3 linked regions of the Canis lupus familiaris genome follow. The protein of the gene in region 2 interacts with the protein of the main gene of each other region in a pairwise test. Links are inferred from orthologs where the notes say so. Each region holds a gene or a part of one and is shown on either strand. Other genes may lie near its edges.

Evidence for each region.
Region 1: the proteins of YTHDF1 (region 2) and DHX30 interact in a two-hybrid assay, tested with the Homo sapiens proteins (2 studies listed by BioGRID, with this or other methods). The link is inferred for Canis lupus familiaris from reciprocal best matches to the Homo sapiens genes YTHDF1 and DHX30.
Region 3: the proteins of YTHDF1 (region 2) and PRRC2B interact in a two-hybrid assay, tested with the Homo sapiens proteins (2 studies listed by BioGRID, with this or other methods). The link is inferred for Canis lupus familiaris from reciprocal best matches to the Homo sapiens genes YTHDF1 and PRRC2B.

Annotation. Positions count from the first base shown.
Region 1 is NC_049241.1:41,533,085-41,541,215, forward strand, and holds the start of DHX30 (ATP-dependent RNA helicase DHX30), read right to left. Parts: upstream 4,775-8,131; 5' UTR 4,760-4,774; coding exon 4,469-4,759; intron 3,078-4,468; coding exon 2,983-3,077; intron 2,126-2,982; exon of another isoform or gene 2,044-2,125; coding exon of another isoform or gene 2,019-2,043; intron 915-2,018; coding exon of another isoform or gene 860-914; intron 1-859.
Region 2 is NC_049245.1:47,784,399-47,792,572, forward strand, and holds the start of YTHDF1 (YTH domain-containing family protein 1), read right to left. Parts: upstream 5,486-8,174; 5' UTR 5,407-5,485; coding exon 5,380-5,406; intron 5,175-5,379; coding exon 5,150-5,174; intron 3,984-5,149; coding exon 3,904-3,983; intron 1,758-3,903; exon of another isoform or gene 1,651-1,757; intron 1-1,650.
Region 3 is NC_049230.1:52,734,761-52,742,407, forward strand, and holds part of PRRC2B (protein PRRC2B), read right to left. Parts: intron 7,337-7,647; coding exon 7,239-7,336; intron 6,935-7,238; coding exon of another isoform or gene 6,923-6,934; exon of another isoform or gene 6,874-6,922; intron 6,293-6,873; coding exon 6,165-6,292; exon of another isoform or gene 6,161-6,164; intron 5,586-6,160; coding exon 5,345-5,585; intron 3,411-5,344; exon of another isoform or gene 3,328-3,410; intron 2,538-3,327; coding exon 2,358-2,537; intron 1,747-2,357; coding exon 1,655-1,746; intron 1-1,654.

The sequences.
Region 1 (8,131 bases), on a different chromosome or scaffold from region 2:
TCAGTAGTTATAGAAGGTCTATTATGGTTGATTTGTAAAACGCTCAGACAGGAACTTCCCGGTCTGCATCAACAGAGGTAACAGGCCTTTTACTCACTGTTCCCTAAAAGGAGGCAAGTCATGCTCCTAAGATACATACACAAGGCCCTCTGAGATGTGGTCCCTGAAGGCTTCCCCAGCTACAGTACTTCCTATAAGCATGAATAAACACTACCCTGCAGGCCAGCCATTGCTCCATTCTATCACTGCTTATACAACCCTCTGACCCTATTTGCTAGAGAGCGTGATTCCAAAACCTGCCACGGTTTCTATGACCACTAATATAACAATGACCCAATCCACACTCACCATCATTTGCTGAGGCCTGCCCTGTGCAAAATGCTATGCCAGGTGCCATAAATGATAAAGGGACACAACAGGCTCTGGCTGCAGGGAGCTTCTAATCTAGGGATGTGGAGATTAGATCCGAATAAACTAAGCACAAGAAAGTACAGATATGGTCCTGAGGAAAATCAGAGAGAGGAGGGACTGAATTTGGTTGACAGAATCAAGAATGGTTCATGGAGAAAATGGGATAAAACACTGGCGTAGAAAAATAGATGGGCTTCCAATGAGCAGTGAGTACATGTGAGAGGATATTCAGGGAGAGGAACAGCAAAGGAACACAGGGATGCGGCCAGGTACTCAGCCATGGGGTCATAAGCACTGTGTGAGGGGAAGGCAGAGAAAGGACTTTGGTGAGTCATGCAAAGAAGGGGTCTAAGGGGTCCTACACACTGGTAAGGAGTCCCTGCAGCCTTCACAGCTGCCCGTCCCAGGGAAGGAGGGCATGAGGTCGCAGGCACAGCTATGTTCTTACCTTTTCTGAATGAGTCCAGGCTGAACATTTCTGGCCAGGAGGGAAAGCTGGAATCCTAAGAAGGAGGGCCAAGAGGCAATGGTTACTATTCTCAGTCCAGGACCCCACAGAGAAGATTTCAAATACACAAAAAGCATGGTCCAGAAGGTGAGACAAATGAAACTCTTCACTACTGAGCACCAACTGCTGCTCCTGGCCTTAAGGATGGAAGGGCCATCTCCACTCTAGAGTAATTACATGGCTCTGTTTCTTTATCACTGAGAGCTTTCTTCTTTTCTCCGTCCTAAACTCCCTAAACCCTGCTAAACAGAACGAGATGCATTTCATCCTGAGAGACGTATTTCCACCTCATCACAGCACTTTGCAGTTTTCCTGGGACTTCTGGGAAGAAAGGAAATTCTATATGGACCCCTTTTCTCATCTGGCACCAGCGAATGGGACTGACTGCCTTATGGACAAAGTAGTTTACTGAACTTTCACAAAACCCAGTCAAGACCCTAGGGATGGGACCTGATGGCAGTATCAAAAAGTAAGTGGACTGTGATTCAAAGTAAAAAGCCTTTTGTGGCAGAGTCTATTATACAACAAATATTAAGTTAAAATTCAACTGTTGGTGGGATGCCTGGGTGGCTCAGCAGTTGGGTGCCTGCCTTCAGCTCAGGTCGTGATCCCGGGATCCGAAATCGAGTTCCACATCGGGATCCCTGTGAAGAGCCTGCTTCTCCCTCTGCCTATGTCTCTGCCTCTCTCTCAGTCTGTGTCTCTCATGAATAAATAAATAAATCTTTAAAAAAAAAATTCAACTGTTGGGCAAAAATTTTGGTACATTTTATTCATTTAACTGAGGAGTATACTTAGAGCCTTAAAACATACACAGAGAGAGAGAGAGAGAGAGAGAGAGAGAGAAGTAACACCTCTGGTTTAATGATTTTTGTTTCAAAAACACTCAAACTCACTTATAGATATTTTTAATAATGTAGTACTCCTGGGTTGGTGCAGTAAACTTACGTGGCCTCAGTTTAAAAACATCTACACAATGTTTTAGCAAACCAGCATAATGTCCAACATTACAAGGAGTCTAATAGGGCCTACACTCCTGCTTCTGACTGCTTTCCCATCTCATTCTCAAATCACGGGGAGATGGGGGTGGAGGGCTGACCTGGGGCCGAATCTTTCAGGTCCATAGCAGGTCTGCCCTGATGGCCTCCTCTCCCCCAGGGATGCCGGAAATTTCAGCCGATAGGATATGGTAGCTCAGAGAGAAAACTTCAATACAATATCAACAACGACACAATTCACTTTAAGAAGTTACATTCTATAGACTCCTTCTATCCAAATTAGAAGAAAAAGGGTATAATTTGAGATCCTAATTTTAAAGAAAATCTGATTATAAAATCTAAAACATCTAAGCAATTATTGAGTCACAACATTTTCTTGCTAAGAAAGAGTAAATTAATTTGCTTATAAACAGACTGTTAGTTCTGCTTTTAAAAAGTCCCTGGCCAGGGGCACCTGGATGGCTCAGTGGTTGAGCACCTGCCTTTGGCTCAGATCGTGATTCCGGGGTCCTGGGATCAAGTCCCACATCAGGCTCCCTATGGGGAGTCTGCTTCTCCCTCTCCCTATGTCTCTGCCTCTCTTTGTGTTGTCTCTCATGAATAAATAAATAAAATCTTTATTAAAAAAAATAAAGTCCTGAACCCCAAAGCCACATGACACTATCTTTTCCTATATCAATCTAAAAAAATCTGTATGATATTCAAGATAGGATGTTTTAAAGATATCTTACTGAGTTCCAGAACATTTCAGAAACTGAAAAAAAATGTGCGTTCCTTGAAATATAATTATGTTGGAAACTTTTATGATTCAGAGTTTCTCTCAAATAATTCAAAGATAAGTAAAATAATATTATGTCAAGAGTTCTTGCATAATGAAACACCACTTAACTCCAGGTAGAGTCACTATGGGATGATTCAAGGACAGAGAAATTCCATAATGGCTAATTAAAAATGATAGCCTTCTTCTAAGACAGTCACAAATGGATTTAATATGTGCCTTTGCTTTACAGTGTGGCTGTATGTGAGATCTGTCACTGCTTTGTGTGCATGGCTAAGTCAACTTACCTTACACGAGCAGTGACAGTCTCAGATTTTGTAGGCTTTTGAACTGAAGCTGAATTCTCTCCTTGCAATTCCTCATCACGAGGCTGGGCCTCCTCCTAGAAAATACAAGACTGGGTCACTATCGGTCACCATAGTGATGAACCTCATACGAAAAATAAAGTTGCTGCAGACCACTGAAATCCATTTACTGACTCTAACAACAAGGACAAGTTTTGTTAATGGCATGAAACCCACACTGGACACACTGGCCTCACTTCAGGACCTGCCATGACAGACAGACTCACAACCCATCAAATTGTGAGCTGCCCTACATCAGCACCTGTAAGATATCAAGAAAGAGGTGTCATGGTGAAAAGGGGCTTGTAGTCCTGAAAGCATTTTCTCCAAGCCCAGAGCAAAACCTGCTTCCAGTTCTGAATTCTAATCCCATAACGACTCTAATATGACCCTACCTAAGATAGATTAAAAAAAAAAAAAAAAAAACCTCTTCCAGGTTAGGAAAATAATGATTACTGAATACCATTTTCAGAGTTCACAAAGTACTTCCACAGACTTTAGAGCAGTTAATCTTTGCAACTTCCCAGTTAGGTAGAAATTATCTTTCCCAGAGAAGGAAATTGAGGCAGATTTTCCCAAAGAAAGTTATGTAAGTTGCCCAAGATCCCATAGCTGCCTCAGGGCAGAATGGAAATCTACAGTTAAGTACTGGACTCCAAAGCTTTCCATGCTTACACTACACTATTTTTCTTATTTCTATGGTACTGTCCTGTTGCCTAGATGTCCCATGGTTCATTCCTGGAAATAATATTTTATAGTGACATAAAGGTTGAAAGTGGCAAGAAGGGTCCAATTGATAAACTTTGGACCATGGCTACAGAAGTTAAAACATTTGGAGAATAATATTCTTTGGAGCTAAAAGGACAACCTACATAGTTTTTAAAAAAAAAAAAATTCAGCAAAGGATGTATTTCTTGCATCTTAAACAGCTCTACAAATAAAGGGCATTATCATAAACTCTATCAGGAAAAAGAGAACTCCCTCCTGGAAACTCCAACATTCCAAGATTTAAGTGTAAATAGTAAGATATAGTCAAGACCCACAATGACAGTGGCTTTACAGCCTTTAAAGAACTGCAAGGGAAACCATCAGACAATGTCTCCTTTCCCTCTGGCCAGTAAGTTGCAACCAAAAACAGTTTTGAGAGTCTGCACCTGGCCATCTGCAGTCCACCTGCTACAGTCTATGGCAAGACCCTGTGGATTGGGGTTGCAAAGTGGGACAATCTCTGCCTTACAACATCACAATTAAGGTGACCAACGTTGCTACACAAGGAGTAGCTAGACAGCATCCTGACGCCATACTCCAGGCTTGGGGGTTCTGAGGACCCCTGGGACTCCAGTTCACTGCAAACAAAGGACCCAACATGCATTAGGTCTTCCCCTGCGAAATGGGGCAAGTCACCACCAGCAAACAAAGAACACCTCACCCCTTGGCCTCCCTCAGTGACAAGGTCGGTGCAAAACGGGGCAAACCAAAGGAGCCAGAATGCACCAGGCCTCCCTTTGGACGAACGGTCCAGGCGGCACGGGGGACAGACAAAGGTCCCGGGGCACTCCAGGAGCTTCCTCCAGGCCCTGCCTCGGGGAACCGAGCATCCCCGGAGGCGGAGGCGTCGTTGCGCCAATGAAGCGGCCTCTCCCGCGGTCCCCGCGGAGCCCCTAGCTACCAGGCCCGCCCCAGCGGACCGGCCTGGCCCCCGCCCCCGCCCAGGCTCCATGGCAACGGCAGGCCGAGGCCTGGCTGCCCACGGCTCGGCCCGGCCGGCTTCGCGGGCAGGCCTAGGATGCCCGGCCTGCTCCTCGGGCCCGCCCGCTTCTCCGCCCCACTCTCCGCCAAGCCGGCGGTCGGACCCGGGCCTCTCCTCGCGCCGACCACCCCCGGCCGCGGCAAGCTCCTCAAGGGGACACGAAAGGGGAGAATAAAAAGCCCAATTCACCTGTTGTTACAGATGTGAAACAAGCCTCGGTGCACCGCGCATGAGCCGCGGGCCCCCCCAACCACGGCCGGACTACAACTCCCACCAGCGGCGGCGCGGCCCCTTCCGGGTCCCGTGGCGGAAGTCCCGCCGGCCGCCCCGGCACTCCCCGCCCCGCCTCCCGCGGCCACCCCGCGTCTCAGCGGGTCTCCAGCGGGTCCCCCCACTCGGGGCTCGCAGTGGCCCCCCAGGGCTCACGCCTCCGGGCGGCCAACCCGCGGCGAGACCCCGGCGCCGAGCCCAATGGGGGGCGGCCGCGGCGGGCGCAGGCGGGACTTCCGGCGGAGCCGCCGAGGGGGTGGGCGCGCGGGCTGCTGTGGGGCCGCTGAGGGAGCTGGTCTGGGCGGCCGGGCCCCACACGGCGCCCCCCTCGCAGCGCCTCAGCATCCGGCAGTGTGAGAGCGGGAGGGCCCTCGCGTGCGTCCGCTGCGCCCCCGCCCCGCGGCCCCACAGCTGCCTCGGGCAGGGCTGAGCCTGGAACGAAATCCTGCTCGGGCTCCGGACCTCCACCCGCCTTCCCCGCCACAGCCCGTTGCCACGCCTCTCCTCTCCGTCTCCCCTCCGATCTTCTGTTTCTTTAGGGAGGTGAGAATTTCTGCCTCAGGACAGTGTTAGGAGGAGACCAGCGCGAGGGCACGCTGTAAACCGTACACCGCTGGGGAAAGGACAAGGTGGCACTGGCTGGTCCGGGCGCCGCTGGGCGGGTCTGCAGGTCTCGCCCCCGCCCCTTGGGCTCCGGTTCCTGTCACGTACATACCGCGGTCCTCTAGACGGGGCTCCCGTGGGAGTTCAGTGGATTCCAACTTCAGAAAGAGCGAACTCAGTTGGGGCTGCTCTGAGGCTCGGTCAAGACGTTACGGCTGGAATGACCCAGAATATGCTTTTAAGATGTGACCTTTCGGGATATATGAAGAATTAGTGCCATAACCCGTTTTTTTGTCCAAGCAATTAAATGCTACAAGTAGTTTTTTTCTTTCTTTTTTTTTTTTCTTTCTTTACATTGGACAGCAGGGTGGGGGAGGTGAGTGTGAAGCATCATCCACTCGTTCAAAGAATTACTACCTTTTCTGAGCAGGGCATGGTGCCATCCTATATGGTGTGTGGGGAATGATCCCTGAACAGGTATCTTGAGTTGAGCCGTATAGCAATTGTTATAAGCAGGTTTTGAGGCTACAATAGCCTGCCCTCAAGGAGTTTAGGGCCTGGTAGACAATATAAAAATATGGTGTGAGGCAAGAAGAAAGTGATAAATGCTGGAGAGGAAGTATATAGCGTTAGAGGGTTGAAAGAAAGGAATATAGTTACTCGATGGCAAAATCGAGGAGAAGGAACCACAGAAGAAAGACAGCCAGTGGAACAAAAGACAAATTCTAAGAGTATGCAGTAGCTCAGTGTGACCAGAGGATTGGATATGTGTACGGGCTTTAGAGGCCATGGAACAAAAAAAGTATAGCTGGGAATGCTATGCTGAGGGATGTTGACTTTATTTGTATGCAGTTACTCTTTGTAAGACATTATTGTTGCACTCCTAAGTAGGAAAGTAAAATAACTAGCGGATTTTAGGAAGGTTATTCTAAAAGTGTGAGGGTAAAATTGGCTGGAAAAAGAGAAGCTAAGGTACAAATGAAATGAGAGGTACTGAGGGATTCAACTGTGCTCAGGAGTGGAAAAGGTTATGACAGGGTGATTGTAGAGTGCCAGGCTGATCCTGCAGGTGACAGGATGTGCTGGGGACTGGAAGGATTGTGCACTGTTAACCATTATTAAGGGACAGAACGGTTGGAGAAGATGATGGATTTTGCTTCATACAGATTATGTTTCAAATGCTGCTGGGTGGGGGGATGCCTGGGTGGCTCAGTCGGGTAAGTGCCTGCCTTTGGCCCCAGGTTCATGATCCCAGAGTCCTGGGATTGAGCCTCTCCTGTGGGGCTCCCACAGGTCAGCTGGGAGTCTGCTTCTCCCTCTCCCTCTGCTCCTCCTTCCACTTGGGCTCTCACTCTCTCAAATAAATAAAAAGACCTTTTTTTTTTTTCTTTTAAATGAAATGCTGTTGGTAATGTTAAGTGATGAACATGTGGTCCCTCCTGCAAAAGATGTCCTGATAGAATGGGAAGAGCATGTAAACAAGTCTTAAAACCTAGGGGAAGCAATGCAAGAGAGGCACAAGTGGAGCCTTCTAAGTGCTTTTCCTTGCTATAGATTTTCTGTTTAGTTTTCTTTCTGAGGGACCTTTCCTTTTTCTTGATCCTTGAACTATTGTTAATGAATGGTTATATCTGGTGAAGTTGGTAAAGTGATCCAGTTTGTAATAAGATGAGTTACAGTGAGTATCTTTTCCCTCTCCCATATATTTCCCCTCTTACTTCCTGTTCATTTTCTTATCACTACCTTATTTTCCTGGATCCAATCCCTAGACTTCTTTCTCTGCTAACATCTCTATCTAGAAACTCCTCTACTTCTTCAGACTATTTAAGGTCCTACTTTGAGCTTCTATAGCAGTTTATTCTCCCCCATGTGGTAGCATTCAGGGCATATTTTGATGTGTCTTCCCTAACTAGGTTGCCAGCCTCTTGGAGTCAAATTTGGGTCCCAATGCCATGTAAGTGCTCCAAGGAGTGTTTGGATATGGCTTACCTCCATCAGATTCTTGTCCTGTGGATTCATGCTACTTAGGTTACTTTTCTTCCGTTTCTTAAGGTTGAAATGTTGGTAGAACCAATTTTATTTTATATATTGAAGTAGAGCTTGTTACCAAAGCCATCCAGCCACAGAAAATAGGATGGAAGAAGAACATAATTTTTTTTAAGATTTTATTTATTCATTCATGAGAGACACAGAGAGGCAGAGACACAGGCAGAGGGAGAAGCAGGCTCCATGCAGGGAGCCTGATGTGGGACTCAATCCTGGAACTCTAGGATCACGTCCTGGGCCAAAGGCAAATGCTCAACTACTGCCACCCAGGTGTCCCAAGAAGAACATAATTTTTGTCATGGGATCTACAGCCATAAGAAGTGGGATGGAGGACCTCTCTTAAACCTCTAAGCTACCATTTCTATGTGCCTGCAGGAGATTCTGTGTTGCTAACCCCACAGTATTTCTTGGATTCCTTTAAAC
Region 2 (8,174 bases):
CCCCACCCCCCCAACCAGCCCACTACCTACACCCAGGAGCCGGGCTCCAGGCCAGCCCTGCACACTCCTCCCACTGCCATCCCTCTTCACTGGGGCACGAGGGGCACCCTGCTGCCTGCCAGGCTGTGTGCCGCGAGTCTACCTTACGTCTTTACCCCAATATCTCACTGGCAGCTTTTTCCTGCTACGTCAGCCACCTTTCTTTCAAAGCTCCAAAAGCCAAGCAACAAATCAGTCTGCAAAACTTGTGAAGTGGGTCATTTGTCCTGTAAAGAGACAAGGGTGCGTTTACCCCTCACTTGCTACTGGGACCCACGCCCTCCTCCCCCGGCTGTGCTGGGAGTGAAACCCCCCAGTCCGTCTGTCCACCCATCTACAGTGTGTAGGGGCTGACTGCTGTGGCCTGATCTTCCAGCAAAACTGACATTCTACTCACTTAAGGGTGAACTGGAATGTGACCCCACTGACATGCCTCATCCTGGACAAAGCCAGACGCAGCCTGCCTGGAGCACTTGCTGCCAACGGATGTACTGCCACCTGACCACTCTTCAGCCCATTGTGCACCCAGGGCCACCAACGAGCAGCCAACATACCTGGGACACAGGTGCGTATGCTGGGTGGTGGACACACATGCTGAGCTTTCCCTCAGCATGTTGGCCACACAAGGCATAGCACACGACAAATCCCCTTAAGGACAATGCAGGTAAAACCACCACCCTGACTGATGCTCTCACATACACAGACTTCTAATCACAGCCTGTGGGAGACACAGGACCTCAAGAAAGGAAGACGGACACATCTTCAGGGCAAGATTAGGCTACAGAAGAGACTACGACAGATCAGCACTGAATCTCGGAACTGAAGAGTTTACACATCATTCCCATAAAGTGAACGTGCCCTATTACACAGACTGAAGGATTGAAAAGAAACTAGGAAAGTTTATTCCTGTTCCTTCCTGTCCCATCAGATGTGACCAGGAAAACAAGTGTGTCGATAACTGAATGTATTCTGAGTATGGTCGTAGCTGCCCGCACTGGCCGGCCCCTCACCCAGAACCCCACCCAGAATCCCCATCTAGAGCCCCTCCAGAACCCCACTCAGAACCTAAGAGACCCTCATCCAAAATCCCCAGGGAGCCCCTTACCTAGAACCCCTCCAGAGCCCCTCACCCAGAGCCCCTCTGCTCCCCAGCGCTCCCCCCCTCCCGCCTGCCCCATTCCCTAAAGCTAACATGTATTCCAAGTCACACAAGGGGCCCAGACCATCAAGATGGTCCTGGGGGGGGGTGGGGGGGTGGGGGGAGACTAGGAAGGAAAAAATGCACCCGAGAAGCAGTGTCCCGAGACCTTTCTGGGGGGAAAAAAAATCACCTACCCCAAGGACAACAGTTCCTTCACAGCATGTTACAAGTTACATTAACTTGAAAGTCCTGCTTTGAAACAGTTTCCTAATCATCCCAGGTATGAGAACCTCAAACACAGAAACAGAAAGAGCTTGCTACTAGGAACATGTGGGCTAAAACAGCCACAAAGTAGCAACCACGGGGCTGACAGCTCTACCCCCACCCTCTCTGTGGCCAAACACAGGCACACAGAGTCACTCATGAGGCTGCACCCTTCACACACGTGCAGCCCGGCACGTCAACAATACCTCAACTGACAACTGGAAGTGCTGCTCCAGGCCACACAAACCACTCTCTCACTGACTCACCAGCACTCTGGCTGCCTGGACACCATGGTGTACCCTCAGCCTGAGACCTGGAGGACCAAGACACAAGAGCTTTCCTCAACAGGGATCTTCGCCAGCAGAGTCCAAAACCAGGGGTGTCATCAATTCCCAGGGGCTTATCAGCAAGGAGGCCACACTGCATGGTGCCCCCACTCCCCATTGAATAAAGAAGTGACAAACACAAGCACAATAGGAGCCCTTGCCATGGACACGCATCCCCGGCCCCCTCCCCCCAATCAGTGGGGAACCAGCTGCCAAACTGGCTCCACCACCTGGGCAACCAGGCCTCTCCAGTCCCACTTTTTCATCCACAAAACAAGAGGACCAGGAACATGAGGATCTAAAAGCTCTCCTGTTACCTGCTTCCTACACTCCCAACAGTTAGGTGTTTCTGGAAAATCTGTTCTCAATCAAGAGCATGCATTTACTCTTAAGGAGCGTGCTGATTAACCATCTTGCTGAAAAGCACACACCCTAACGGCCAAGATAACGCAGCTGTTTTAAGGCTGTTCATGGGAATGTCAACCTACAATGGTCTTCACAGCCAGCTTCCCCAGGGAGAAACAGCTGTAACTACCCTCCTGACAGAAAATCATCTGCTCCACTTCCAAAGCAGTCCTCCCAAATAACATGAAAGCTCCTGCCTTATAAAAACGTATTTCAAGAGTAGTGAAGCAACCCCCTCCAATTTTCTCTGGTTGAAATTTAGAATACACTTCTGCTATATTCAAGTCACATAAGGAAAAAACAAAATACCAAAATGAAATTAAGTCTGTTTCACTTCTTGCCATTAGCTCTAACAATGCATCACTGCAGCCAGGCCAGTTCTACTCTGCAGCTCCAGGTCCTGTGCAGAGGAGGGCTGGGGCTGGGTCCAGGGAGGCTCTATAAAGGGTCTCCTTGGTGCCTCTGCTGCTGAGCTGCTCAATGCAATAAAAAGGAGAAAACTGGAGAAAAGTTCTAAGAAACTTTAAGACTCTTTAGACAAGAGCAGACTAGGAAGAAAAGGAACAAACTAACTTTACTCCACTGCAAGAAAAGGCAAAGTTGGGATCCCTGGGTGGCGCAGCGGTTTAGCGCCTGCCTTTGGCCCAGGGCGCGATCCTGGAGACCCGGGATCGAATCCCACGTCAGGCTCCCGGTGCATGGAGCCTGCTTCTCCCTCTGCCTGTGTCTCTGCCTCTCTCTGTCTCTCTCTCTGTGTGACCATCATAAATAAATAAAAATTAAAAAAAAAAAAAAAAAAAAGGCAAAGCTTGGTTTTATCCTAAAGCAAACATATGTAATACATTTAAAACCTGGTAGACATCATGCTTAAGCCTATACTGCACTAGCCCAGCGGACTGAACCAGGGCAAGCTGGCCCCCAGGAGACACCACCAACACATTTTTTGTTGTCACACTGGTGTGTGTGCAGGGGAGTCCGTTACTACTGGCATCTCATGGATAAAGGCCAGAGAAGCTGCTAAACATCCTACAACATACAGCGCAGCCCCCCAAAGAATGTTTCAGTGCAAAACATCTATAGTGCCAAGGTTGACAAACTCTGAAGCACCCAAGAAAAATGGGCAGCTGTGACCTTTCTGGCCCTGCACAGGTACCAGTTTGAGCTTCACGTGAGCCACCCGCTGTTACCATCCCCACAATTCTGTGGGCAGTCACTACAACCGGGTCTACCGAACAGGAAGAGAGGTAGAGAGAAGGCAAGTCCTCTAAGGAAGGGGCAGGGAGTCAGTGGTAGAGTGAAGATTCAAACATGAGACCAAAGTCTGGCTCCAGAGCTCAGTTCTTAGATGCTCTCCTAGGCCACCTATTCTAATTGCCCAGAGGTAAAATAAATCACCAGAAAATTTCAGAAAACCGCACACATTTCCACTCCATCAAAAACAGTGCATCACTGAGCCATCCATGTGAGGCCAGCAGAAGCCCACCTGCATGCAGCCCCCGTGGGACACCACTTCCTCCGAGAGCACACCCGCTACACTGCGCTCATGCCCTACGTGTAACTCAAGGACAGTCAACCAAGCAAGTGGTCAGTACGCTCTCTACTGCTAGTACTTTATACTGCGCTTCTTGATCGTTCAGGAGAATAAGGTGAAAAACTGTTAACAACAAAAATGTGTTACAAAACTCAACAAAAATGAACATAAAGATATAGGCCATAAAATAAACTCACCTGATTTGACTGTCCAGAAAGGTAGGGCTCAAAGTCATTGTCATGGACTGTATCCTTCTGATGCAAAGAACCATTTTGTACTAGAACAAAAAAAAAAAAAAAAAAGGAAAAATATAATTTTTGAATCTTAAAAAGTTGCTTTGATGCACTAAGATCAAAAGTAGTCAAGTCTAGGGCAGCCCAGGTGGCTCAGCGGTTTGGCACCGCCTTCAGCCAAGGGCGTGATCCTGGAGACCCGGATCGAGTCCTGCGTCGGGCTCCCTGCATGGAGCCTGCTTCTCCCTCTGCCCGTGTCTCTGCCTCTCTCTCCCTCTGTGTGTCTCTCGTAAATACATAAAATCTTAAAAAAAAATAAAGTCTACACCCATCAACTCCTAGAACCTGCCTTTATTTAAAAAGGAAGACAACCAGCATCCAACTAATAGGTACACAAGTAATTAACGCGGTGATGCACAACTTCCAGTAACTTTACGTTTTTGACGCAAAGCTAATCATAATTCGATAGAAGTCGGCAAGACGCAGGTGCAGACAGAGTAACACAAGGAACTAGTAACTGGGTCCTGGTTAAGACGACCAAGCGGAGGTCAGCGGGCCCAGGGTGCGTGCAGGCCGGGGACCCCCGCCGCGGCTTTCAGCGCAGGGCAGCCGGGGAAGCTTCTGAGCTCTGAGCTCGCCGTTGTCCGGCTCTCCACTTACTTCCCACTGTTACCATGGCTCAGCCAAGAAAAAAAAAAAAAAAGAAAGAAAGAAAGAAAAGGTAAATAAAGCGTTGAGCCTCTTCCAATCTTAAAACGTGATGAACCATATTTGGTTACACCCGAGTTTAAAAAAAAAAAAAAAAAAAAAAAAGCGTCTTCCAAGTAAACAAGCAAGTGTCACTTACGGGTTCTCCCCAGATCGCGTTCTGGGGGTTTGTCCGGAGCCACAACATCCCGGGCGATGCAGGGGGCCGAGGGGTGGGGGGTGGGGAGCGGGCGGGCGGGCGGCGGGCGGGCGGCCCCTCCCCTCCTCTCCTCCCCTCCCTCCCCGTCCCCGTCCCCATCCGGCCGAGGGTCCCTGAGCACCCGCAGGAGCCCCGCGCTCCGCCGCCCGACCTCGGCTCCCGCAGCCTCGGGGTTATCTCCCGGAAGCACACGGGAGCAAAGTTTCCGGTTCCAGATGCCCTTCCTGGACCTGCCCCCCCGCCCCCGCCCCACGGCCCGCCGCCGGTCGGGGGCCCCGCGCAGCCCGGGCCCACGCGGCTCACCTTTAGTGTCTTGTCCTTTTGTTCTCTGCGTGGCCGCAGGGGCCGGGAGGGCGCGCAGCCGGGCGGGCGGGAGGGAGACACAGAGTTACCCACGAGGACCGGTCCCGGGCGCGCGGCCCCGCCCCGCCCCCCGCCCCCCGCCCGGCCCGGCCCGGCCGCCCCGCCCCCCGCCGGCGCCCTCCCCCCGCGCCCGCCCCCGCGCCCGCGCCCGCGCCCGCCCCGGCAGCCACCTGGGGGTCCACGCTGGTGGCCGACATGCTTCATGAACGGCGCGGCGCGGCGCGGGGCCGGGGCGCCCGCCGGCTCGGGCCTCCCCGCGAGGCCGGGCCTGTCCCCCGCGCTCTCGCGGCCCCGGGCCCGCCGCCTCCTCCCCGGGCGCCGGCCGGGCGGCGGCGGCGGCGGCGACTACCGGGCGCGCGGGGCGCTCGCGGGGCGACGAGCCTGGACGGGACGCACGGACGAGGCGCCGACTCCAATGGCGGCGGCGGCGGCGGCGACGGCGGGGACGAGGCTGCGCGACGTCAGCGCGCGCGGGGCAGGCCGGGAGCGCCGACGGGCCGCCACGCGCCGCGCCTGCGCGCCTCCGCCGGGCGGGACGGATCTCGCGCCGCGGGTCCCGGTATCGCGCGGCGGGGGCGGAGCGCGCCCGGGAAGTCACGTGGGCGGCGGCGGCGGAGCGGCGGGGCTGCGGCGGGCCTGCTGGGACGCGCACCTGCCCGGCCTCGGCCCGGGGCGCCCGGGCGCAGCCCCGAGGTCTGGAGGTCAGCCGGCGCGTGCGGCCCCCAGCTAAGCCACCGAGAGCAGGCCGGACCCCCGCCCGCAGACGTCCCCCGGCCCTCCGAGGGGCGGCCTGGGTGCGAGCGCCGCGGTCGCTGGGGCCGCACCTGCGGGGTCCTAGGCTTTGTCTGCGCTCGCCTTCTGCAGCCGCCGTCCCGGGGAGCCCTGATCTGCGGCCTCGCTGAGCGTCCTGCTTGTCCAGCGCTGTCCTGGGCCTCCAGGGCCGCCCCCCAGTTCAGCACCAGATTGCACGTGACGGCGTCCGCTGCAGATTTCACCGCGGGGGGCAGAGAGGTCAGCCCGGCCTGTGCCCTAGTCCCCCTAGTCCCCCTAGTCCGGCAGGGCAAGGGGCCTTTTGGTCTCTGTTTAAGGATGGACAGCCGCTTCTTGAGCGTGACCTCCTGGAAGGAGTGCGGTTCTATTCCACGCTCACCCTGGACCCTGCTCCCAGCTCCAGAGCCCCTGCAGCCACTTCCCACCCTGGCTCCCAGGTGCGGGGGAATCTTTTCCCCCTTCCCAGCCCGTTGCGGCCCACTCTTGTAACATCTTCACAAGCCCCAGGTCTGGGCGCTTGTTCCGCGGAAGGAAGGGGAGAGGCTGAGTGCTGGCTCCGGGTGGGGCATCAGGCAGGGGGGCATCAAGAAGAGCACTCCCCGAAACAGGGCCAAGGCAGATGCCAGCAGGCGGGCCATGCTCTAAGCAGGGGGACGGGGACCGCTAGGATCGTGGTGGGACGCCAAGACCAGCTTAGAGCCGGTACCCGCGCTGGGGAGACAGGAGCAGCGGGGTACCAGGCAGCATCTGTAACGGCTGCAGGAGGAGGTAGAATTGACAGTGGCAGGTGGGTGGGCCATGGGGGCATCCACTGCTCCAAATTGCTCATCACTAGGTCTCCCTGGGGCCCTGCCTGACGTAAGGATGGGAAAGGCAGGCTGGGCACAACCCAGAGGAACATCTGATGCCCTGCAGGTGAATCTGGGTCCAGCAGGACTTTGGTTCACTTGGGCCACGGGCAGCTCATGGTAACGTGAAGTCACACATTTGGGGTGAGTCCTGTCCAGAAAGGTGGTAGATGCAGGGAAGCCACATTGAGATTGTGGTTGCCAGCAAGGTCGTGGAGGCGCAGGGCACCTAGTGCTGTCTTGCTGCTGCTGTCTGCCTCTGCGTAGGTGAGGACTTACCACTTGGAGCATCCTCCTCCCTGGGGCCCAGAACAGCAGGGCGCCTGTGACCAGAGCCAGGAGAATCCAGTGCTCAGCTCTGTTGGAGCCCCTGCTCCTTGCTTCTCCAGCTGGCAACCCTCAGGCAGGACTGCATGGTGGTCACAACAGCGTCGTAGGGCCACACAGCCAGTTCCAGCCCCTTCCCTGTCCTATGCTCCATTCCTCCCTTGTTTGGGGCAGGACAACTCTCCTCTTCCAGGTAAAGCACGAGGAGTAGATGAGGGATGCACAGCTTCAGCGCCAGGGCAGGCCCATAAAAGCTGGCCGTTATGCCCCGTCCTCCCCCACATCTGCCTAAGGAGCCGTGGGAGGCCACAGGCTCCGGAGGAAGTGGCTGCTGGAGCTCGGCTGGCCTTGGATGAAGCCCCAGGGGGACCGTGTGAGTTTCCGTGGCTGCTGTAATGAAGGACCACAAACTGGGTGGCTTCCGGCACAGGAGATTGATTATCTCCCGGTGTCATCAGGCCCGCAGTCCCTCCAGGGGAAGACCCTTCCCGCCTCTGGCAGCTTTGGCAGCCCGAGGCCTTCCCCAGCTCTCTGCCTCCAGGGTCACACGGCCTTATCCTTTGTTTGTCTCTGAGGCTCCCTCTTAAAAGAACACCTGTCATTGGATTTAGGGCCCACCTTGATCCAGTAAGTTGTCCTCCCAAGTTCATTCTGTCTGTAAAGATCCTACTTTCAAATAAGGCCACATTCACAGGTACCAGGTAGATGCGAATTTGGGGGAGCACTTTTCAGCTTAGGACACAGCTGGTATCAACTGGAAAATTTGGAGAAGAGCGTCCAGGGGCTGAGCTGAGTTACCTCCACAAAGGGGAAGGACTGGCCCTGGAATGAAGGCTAGAGGAGGCGCAGTCGTGCCAGCTTGCTGGTCAGGAAAGGGGCGACAGGTTTGACAGCCACCACACAGGCCCGCCCCCGGCCGCTGGAAGTGTTCCATGCCAGGCTCGGTGAGGGGGGGAGCGATGGCTGCCCAGGACAGGGGACGGGGGGCAGAGCGTGGGCCCCAGAGCAGCTTGAATCTG
Region 3 (7,647 bases), on a different chromosome or scaffold from region 2:
TGCCTAGGTGCTATGTGGAAGAAAGATTCTGTGGTCAAAAGCTTGAGAAGTGCTGTGTGCGGGAGTTCATCGGGACCCTGGACAGTGGGGGAGCTCAGACCCTGTGCCGAGCACCACGATCCCAACGAGCACACCCCTAAATATCTGACCAGGGAACCCTTTTTTGGCAGGGCACACCTCAGAAGCCCTGTTTCCAGAAAACCTGGGAAACACTGCTCTATAAAAATACACCAATTTTCCCCCCACTACAACCCCAACAAAACAGAGGCTATTCGTGAAGGCTTCTATGTTCTACGCGTTCTTCAAAGAGCCCACTGCTGTGTCCCTACCCTGAACAGACATGGGCAACTCTTGCTGTGTGAGCATCTGTGCTCTGGTTTGCCTCTGGGACCAGATGCAGCTCAATGTCACCCATGGCGACAGGGGGCTGACAGCATTTGTTTATCCACAGAGCTTCCTTCCTTATTCCAGACTACAGTCATCATTCTGTGTTGCTGTCTGTATCTTTCATACAGTTCTGTTATTTTGGCCTATGTGAAAAATATGGTCACAACACAAAACAAACTAATGAACAAAAATAAATGAAGCCAAAGGGTAAAGTAATAGAAAAGATGATGGAAAGGGGGAAACATCACACAAATGCCTCTGGAAATGCAGGTGGAAGCATGGAATGATGGGAAGGACGGGATGGACGGGACGGATGAGGACCCAGCCTCGACACTTCAAGAGCAGCAGGGCAGAGTGGCCACAGCTGCAAGACCGGAGATGATGCTCTGATCTGCAGACGTGCTCCCCACTCGGAGAGCAGCTATACGCCCCTAGAGGGTCCTCGGGGCGCCCTGGAGCCGGGCCGCTCACCTCTCACAGAGCGCCATGAGTCACACGTCTGCTTTGCTTGCTTACAAACAGGAGGATGCTCCAAGCATCTCCCACGTGTAACAAGAGCCAACCGCACCTGCCCATGGGCCCCGGGCCAGAGCATGCTGCCTCCCCATCCCTGCCACTCTTCCTCAGGGGCAAATAGGTCAGTAAGGCCAGAGGTTCTTTGAGTTTCTAGTATAATAAGTAATTCCACACCAGGATTCATGCAAAGCCACCTCCCAATCCAGCTAAGGGACCTGGGACAGTTAGTTACTGGAGAGGCAGAGACCAAGACCAAGGATGCAAAGAGAAGGGGCCAGTCCACATGGCCCCACAAGGCCAGCAGCCACAGGCCCTCATGGGGCCAGAGGGCCAGTGCAGGGGGCCTGCAGCCCCAGGAAAGGGAATTCTCCTCGCCTTCCAGGGAGTACACCTTCCTGGTCAGCAAATCCTTTGTAAAATCTGGTGGGAAAGCCGTGAGCAGTCAGGTCAGGCCTCACACTATTAAAACATCAGCTTACTACCTTTCCAGAAAGCTCTCCCACACCAGAACATTTTATTATGATGACTAAAAGCAGAATCACTCTGCTAGTTCACTAAAACATGGTTCACTAAAACATGAAAGTGTCCCAGTATTGAAATTTCAAAGTGACATGTGGCCTCAAAGAGGACCCTGCCTCAGTGCCCTCCCATGGCTCTCCCTGGGCCCCCGACTCTTCTGAACCATGGAGTCCCATCTAGACCAAGTATTTGGTGATGCAGCATCTGACCCCCACCCAGGGCATTTCTTTACCTGTAAGTCTGGGGTGATGGCACAGAGCCTCCTGAAGGAACATTCTGTTTACTGTCGGCAAAGTGGAAGCCCTTCATCTCCATCTGAGAGGACTGGAGACACCACAAAGGTATGAGTGGTCATTTGATGGCCCTGTGCTGCCTGGCCCTCACTGAACCACCCTCGTGCAGAGACACTGAGAATTTCCAGCGAGGGAAAGGGATCACCTAAAGCAAACTGCACTCCCCCTCCCCCTCCAATCTAGGCTTGAGAGGCTTCTTGGAACCAAGGACCATCCTGTTTTTGTTCTCTCGAAGTGGGGTGGGGAGAGAGGACTGTGCACCACCACCAGGATGGCCATCAGCAGAGCCCCTGAAGCCGGGGAGGAATGCAGAGCCTGGACCCCAGCCCTAGACACACTCCATGGGGATGTCTGGGACGGTCTCTGAAACGGCCCCACAGCTCCCCTAGCCAAGAGGCCCCAGGCATCACCACCACACACCCCTTCCCTTCTCTTCTGGGTGTCGGCTCATGTTGCTAGCTTGAACCAAGGTGGGGAGGGGTTGCGCCATGGGGTTCCTAGAAGACTTCACCACGAGCAGGAAACCAGTGGTCTGGTGAGGCCAAGAGCTAGCTTGCAGCCCAACCTCTGGAATTTTCTGCCCCAACAGCACTTCCTGACTTAGCTAGCAAGGTTTCTCCCGGGCACGAGAGTCCTCCTTACCTCTCTGCTGGTGTTAAGGACCGAAGGCTGGGAGCCGGGTGGAAGGATTCTTCGGGGGGCCCCGACAGAGAGGCTCTGCCCCTGTGGCAGCTGGATGGACTGTGGTAGAATCAGAGGCTGCTGCCCGGAGCCGTACCGCGGCAGAGGCAGCTGGGAGCCAGGCAGCGGCATCGTCAGCTGCTGGGCGACAGGGACAGTCAAGAGGAGGAATGGATGTTGAGGAGAAAGCCACGAACTACTGTTTACATGTGTCCCCAGGAGAGGACACACATTATACTGCAGGTTCTCATTTTAAGAGAATTAAAGCGTGGCCTCTGCACAGCAATATAGGCTCTAGATTTCTGCTAGGGAATACCCTCAGAAGTAGGGCAAGTCTGATTGCTGGAACCAGCAGGTGGAGAAGACAAGCTCAGGGCCGTGCCAGCAGGTGCTACACTGTAACATGCTCACAGGGGACAGGAGTGGCTCCTCTCCAGGGCTGCAGAGGGCTGCATGCACCCAAGGGAAGCACCAGGACACTATCAGACCCAGGGAGCAGAGAGGACAGAGCGTCATACTGGACACAGACCCAACATGGGGAGTGCGGGCAACAAGCCCCTTATGTATTGGGGGGGTGGGGCGGGGAAGAGTTAGGGAAGGTCAGGAGGCTTCTTAGGAGGTAATGTCCAAGCAAGTCCCCAAACACGAACACTGGATGGATTTCTATCTACATACTGCTTTGCAAGGCAAAAAAGGGAAAACCCCTTTATTGTTTTGCCTCTAAAGGGTATGGAAAACTCAACTGAGTTCTGGGGTAAAGGGTTCCTGGAACTGGAGACTCTTGGATCCTTCTGAAGACTATTATAATAGCAGAACATGGGGGAGAGGGGAATGGTGACAGCAAGCTCTAAGGGACCACTTCTCAAGTCCAGCACCAGGTGGGTGACAAGGACAGGGGGGTGCCTCAGGACTGAGGCAGGGACGCCACTTGTCTCTCAGTCACTTTCCTCTTCATCCCCCTGCATTGAGTCCACGGGGGGGTCAGAAGGATCTATTGGAATTACATCACGGAGACGAGTGGCAGCCAGAGCCTCAAGACCCCACGTTCCTCCTTGCACACAATAGAGTGTGGGACGAAGAGGAGGATGTTACTACGCTTCTGGAGCACTGGCTCCCCATGTGGTATGGCCAAAATTGTGTTTTAGGGGGAACCTCAGCTGCTATGTTGAGAACAGATCATTGGGCCCAAGAGTAGAGCCAAGAGATCTGGGAGGAACCCCCACAGGAGCCTGGACAGGGTGGGGTGTGGAGGGAATGAGAAGTGGCTAGATTCTGTATACCTTCCAAAGATAGAGCCAATGGAACTCGCTGAAGGATCAGAGGGGATGTGAGGGGACATGGGGACCTACAGTGACATAGATAAGACAGCCAGAAGGACCAGGAGAAAAATCAGGTTTTGGACTTGATGCCTTCACACACTATGTTTGATATGCCCTAAGACACCAGAGCAGAGGAGACGGGTAGCCCACAGGTGAGAAAATAAATACCTGGTGGGACTGGGAAGACCTAAGTCCCTTGATGGGACTTTAAGCCATAGGACTAGACAGAGGTTGGAGGGCAGAGCCTAGGGGGCACCAAGAAATCACACACCACACAGGTGAGGAAGAAGGGGTTGCCAGGATGGCAGCGCCTATGAACAGAGTGAAGAACATGACTCCAGGTGTCAGGAGCATCCCGGAGTCAAATGCTGCGGATGGGTCAGCAAGATGAGGGTAAAGAATAACCATCAGGAATTGACTGGTGTCCTTAAAAAATTTTTATGGTTTTGTGTTTTTAATAAGGGGAATAATAGAGTTGGCTGGGTACGGCCCTTCGTTGTGCCCACAGCACACGTGATGTACGTAGGAAGGAGCTGGAGCCTGGCTGGAAGGGCCTTCCCCAAGCTCCGCCAGCCCACCCCTGTGGCAGGAAAGCCCTCAGGCGGTGCTTTGTACAAGATCTCTTGTTTCATCACTGCTTCTATTTCTCTAGTGACAGGGTAGAGGTAGAGGGTGGTGAGGAGAAAGTTGCAAGTCTGAGACGGGCACTGGAGGCTGGAGATTGATGGGGCCCGAGTTCAGGGGCATGGAGACTCCCGAGGGTGGCTGTCGGGGCCTGGCAGCAGATAGCCCAAGCAGGTCTGGTTTTCTGTAGGCACAGACAGCTGTGCAGACACAGGCCTGGACCTAAGTGAGAGCATTGGAGTGGGGACAAGGACAAATGCAATGGGCAGCACCGATAAGCTGGCAGGGAAGTGAGCCCACAGGAGAAGGTGATCAGGTGGCCAGAGCTGCATCGCTAGCAGGGAGAGCTAGCAGAGCAGGGGTGGGCATGAGTAAAACCCTTAAACTTGAGATGGTGGAAAAGGTACAGCTTCTGGCATTGACAAGTCCCGACAGGGCTCCCACGCGGAGCCCTGGTGGCAAGGGGCCGAGGAACAGAGACCAGGCTATCATCTACACACACATCAAAACCACCAGCAGTTACAACAGGAGCTATGCTGGAGAGACTGAACCAGGAGCGACCCTCAAAGTTGTCCAATACTACTGACGGTCACAGGAGAGGAAGACATGAAGCCAAACGCTGGATTCATAATATGGACTCACAGTAACATGGAGGCCAGTGGAGCCATCGACAGTATGGGCTCCAGGGCTGGGGTTCTGGGGAGAACAGAGGGAGAGCTGTCCAGAAGCATTAGTATGCCAGGAGAACATGCACCCCATCTCCAAGCCCCCCAGGATGAGGGCGGGAGAGAGGCTGTGGGAGGAGCAGTGCTCTCAGGGGATAAATAGGACAGGACCGTTCCAGAGAGGCAGAGGACCTAGCCCCAGTTCTAGCAGCCCAAGGACCAATCACAATGGTTACAAGCTGCACATAAGTCAGCAAAATCAAGAGACAGATAAAAAGGAAAAACAGTCACAAGAGAAAGAGGCCCTAGTGTGCTGGGCAGGGGAGATGGAATTCCTGACCTGTGGGAGCTGGGAGTCCAACAACTGGGAGGCGCCTAGGCCCGCAGCCTGACCCAGCTGGCCCTCGTAGACCAGGGCTTGGTTTCCACTCATGGGCTGGTAGGGGGAGCCGGACTGGGGCTTCACCATCTCTAAGGGCTGCATGCCTGGGAACGCCGAGTATGGAGGCTTCAAGGCTGTGCCTCCAGAGAGGATCATGGTGCTGGGTGGTGACAGGCTGGGATGCATGTACACCTGAGATCTGCAAAAGCCAGACAGACGGTGGGTCAGATGTAGGAGCACACCAGTGGGTCTCAAATAGAAGCACGCAGCACGATCCCCCAGAGGGCTTGCTAAAATCCACACTGCTAGCCGCCCCCCACCCCAAGCTTCTGACTCAGAAGGTCTGGACAGAGCCTGAGAATCTGCATTTGTAACATGGACCTAGATGGTGTGGATGCTGCTGGTCCAGGGGCCACAGTTTGAGCATCACTAGATGACACATCCAGGCTGTACAAGGCACAGGAAAACCTATGTGATGCTAAAGGCATGGGACTTCAGACACATGGGAAGAGCAGACCATGGGTATAGGCAGGCGGTGGAGGCAGGCAGGAGGAAGGGAAGATGGAGAGGGGCTGTGAAGGGGTAGGACGACGTGGAAAAAAGACACAAAGCCCACGGAGGAGCATCATCAAGCCCACGCAGCTCCTGCAAGAGTCATTAATGACTCTGAAGTGACCATGATCACCACCTCCCCCCACCAACCACCCCAAAGCAGAGGCGAGGAATGGCAGCTCACAGGCCATAGAGGTGGAAGCTTGTGTCCCTGGCTGCATCTCACCTGAAGGGCTGTAAGGAGCTGAAGATCTCCTGAGCCTGGGAGGCGGGAAGCCCGCCCCTCAGTCCCAGCTGGGCTGGAGCCTGCAGAGATGTGTGAAGGGAAAGAGGGATCTGCTGGGCAGCGGCAGCCTGCGGAGGGGAAGCCAGGCAGGTAACTGGGCAGGTGACCTTGGGGGCCCTCTGAGCTGCTCCCCACCCCGCCCCGCCCCCTGTCCAGCGGCAGTGCAAACACTGCCCCAAATGCAAACTGGGACATGTCCTTCTGGTGCTTTCCTTGCTCTTGGGAAAAAGCAAACAATTGGGTAACAATCCCAAACCCTGGCACGTTCCTATCCTGGATTCTGTACAACAGCAAGAATGAATTCTAGCTACGGTTATCAACAGAGGCATGTCAATGGTGAACAGGACTCATACATGAAGAATACATGCGGTACAATCCAGTCACGTGAAGATCAAAATCTGGTAAATCTAAATGATGTAATAATTAAGAGTATGTTTCATAAAAAGGTTGGGACAGGCCAAGTCCTCTGTCCCCAAATCTGCTTCTGCCCAAGGGCCCCACCGTCCTGGCACACAGTTCTGTGGGCTGCTGGACCATCAGAAGGCTCCACTCCAGCTTCAGGAGGGAGACTTCAGAAATCCGCCCCTTGCAGCACAGAAAATACGCCCATCCTGCATGAAAACAAACACCTGCACGTTTCTAAAACTACCTCTTTCTAATGCATCCATGCCTGGGAGTCTAGGCTTTTCTTCTCTTCATCAGAAGGATACCTGATACCAAAGGATACCAAAGAGAATTCCGTTTCAGCTAATTCCCCAGCTAGGACACAGGAAGAGCTCTGAGAGAGGGAGACAGAGAGTCTGGAGCACTGAGCTCCCGTCCTCTTCCCTGTCTCTCCTGTGTTCATTCACTGAATGTTTCCTGGCTGCTAGGACAGGCTGGGAGCTGGGCATTACATGTGAGGGACACAGGAAGCCAGACAATGAACAAATCAATGAAGAAATTAACTCCACTGTGCGCTGCACCCCCGCCCCACCACACCCTGCCCAGGCCCGCCTGGCTTGCAATCATCACCTGCTGGTAACTCTGCTGCTGAGGTATCGTTTGAGGAACCAGCCGGGGCTGACTTGCAAACACATGGCCATCCAGGTACAGAGGCGGCAGGTGGTTGCCTGCAAACAGAATTCCAGAAGACAGAATAGGATCAAGTCTCACTGTTCCCAAATGTTTGCACGTGCATGCTTTTCCGGGGAATCGGGAGGGAGTGTGTACAGAGCCTGCTCAGCTCCCTGCTGGTGGCCCCTTACTCCAGCAGCCCCACACCGACTCACCCACTGACAGCAGCTTCAGGGCCCCAGAGCAGGGGCAGGCTCCAGCCTACCCTTCCTACCCAACCCCTGGCCCACCGGCCCACACCTTTGGGAGTGGCTCCACTGCAGCCCCCGGGTTCTCTGTCCCCCTGCACTGAGTCCACAGTGGAGGA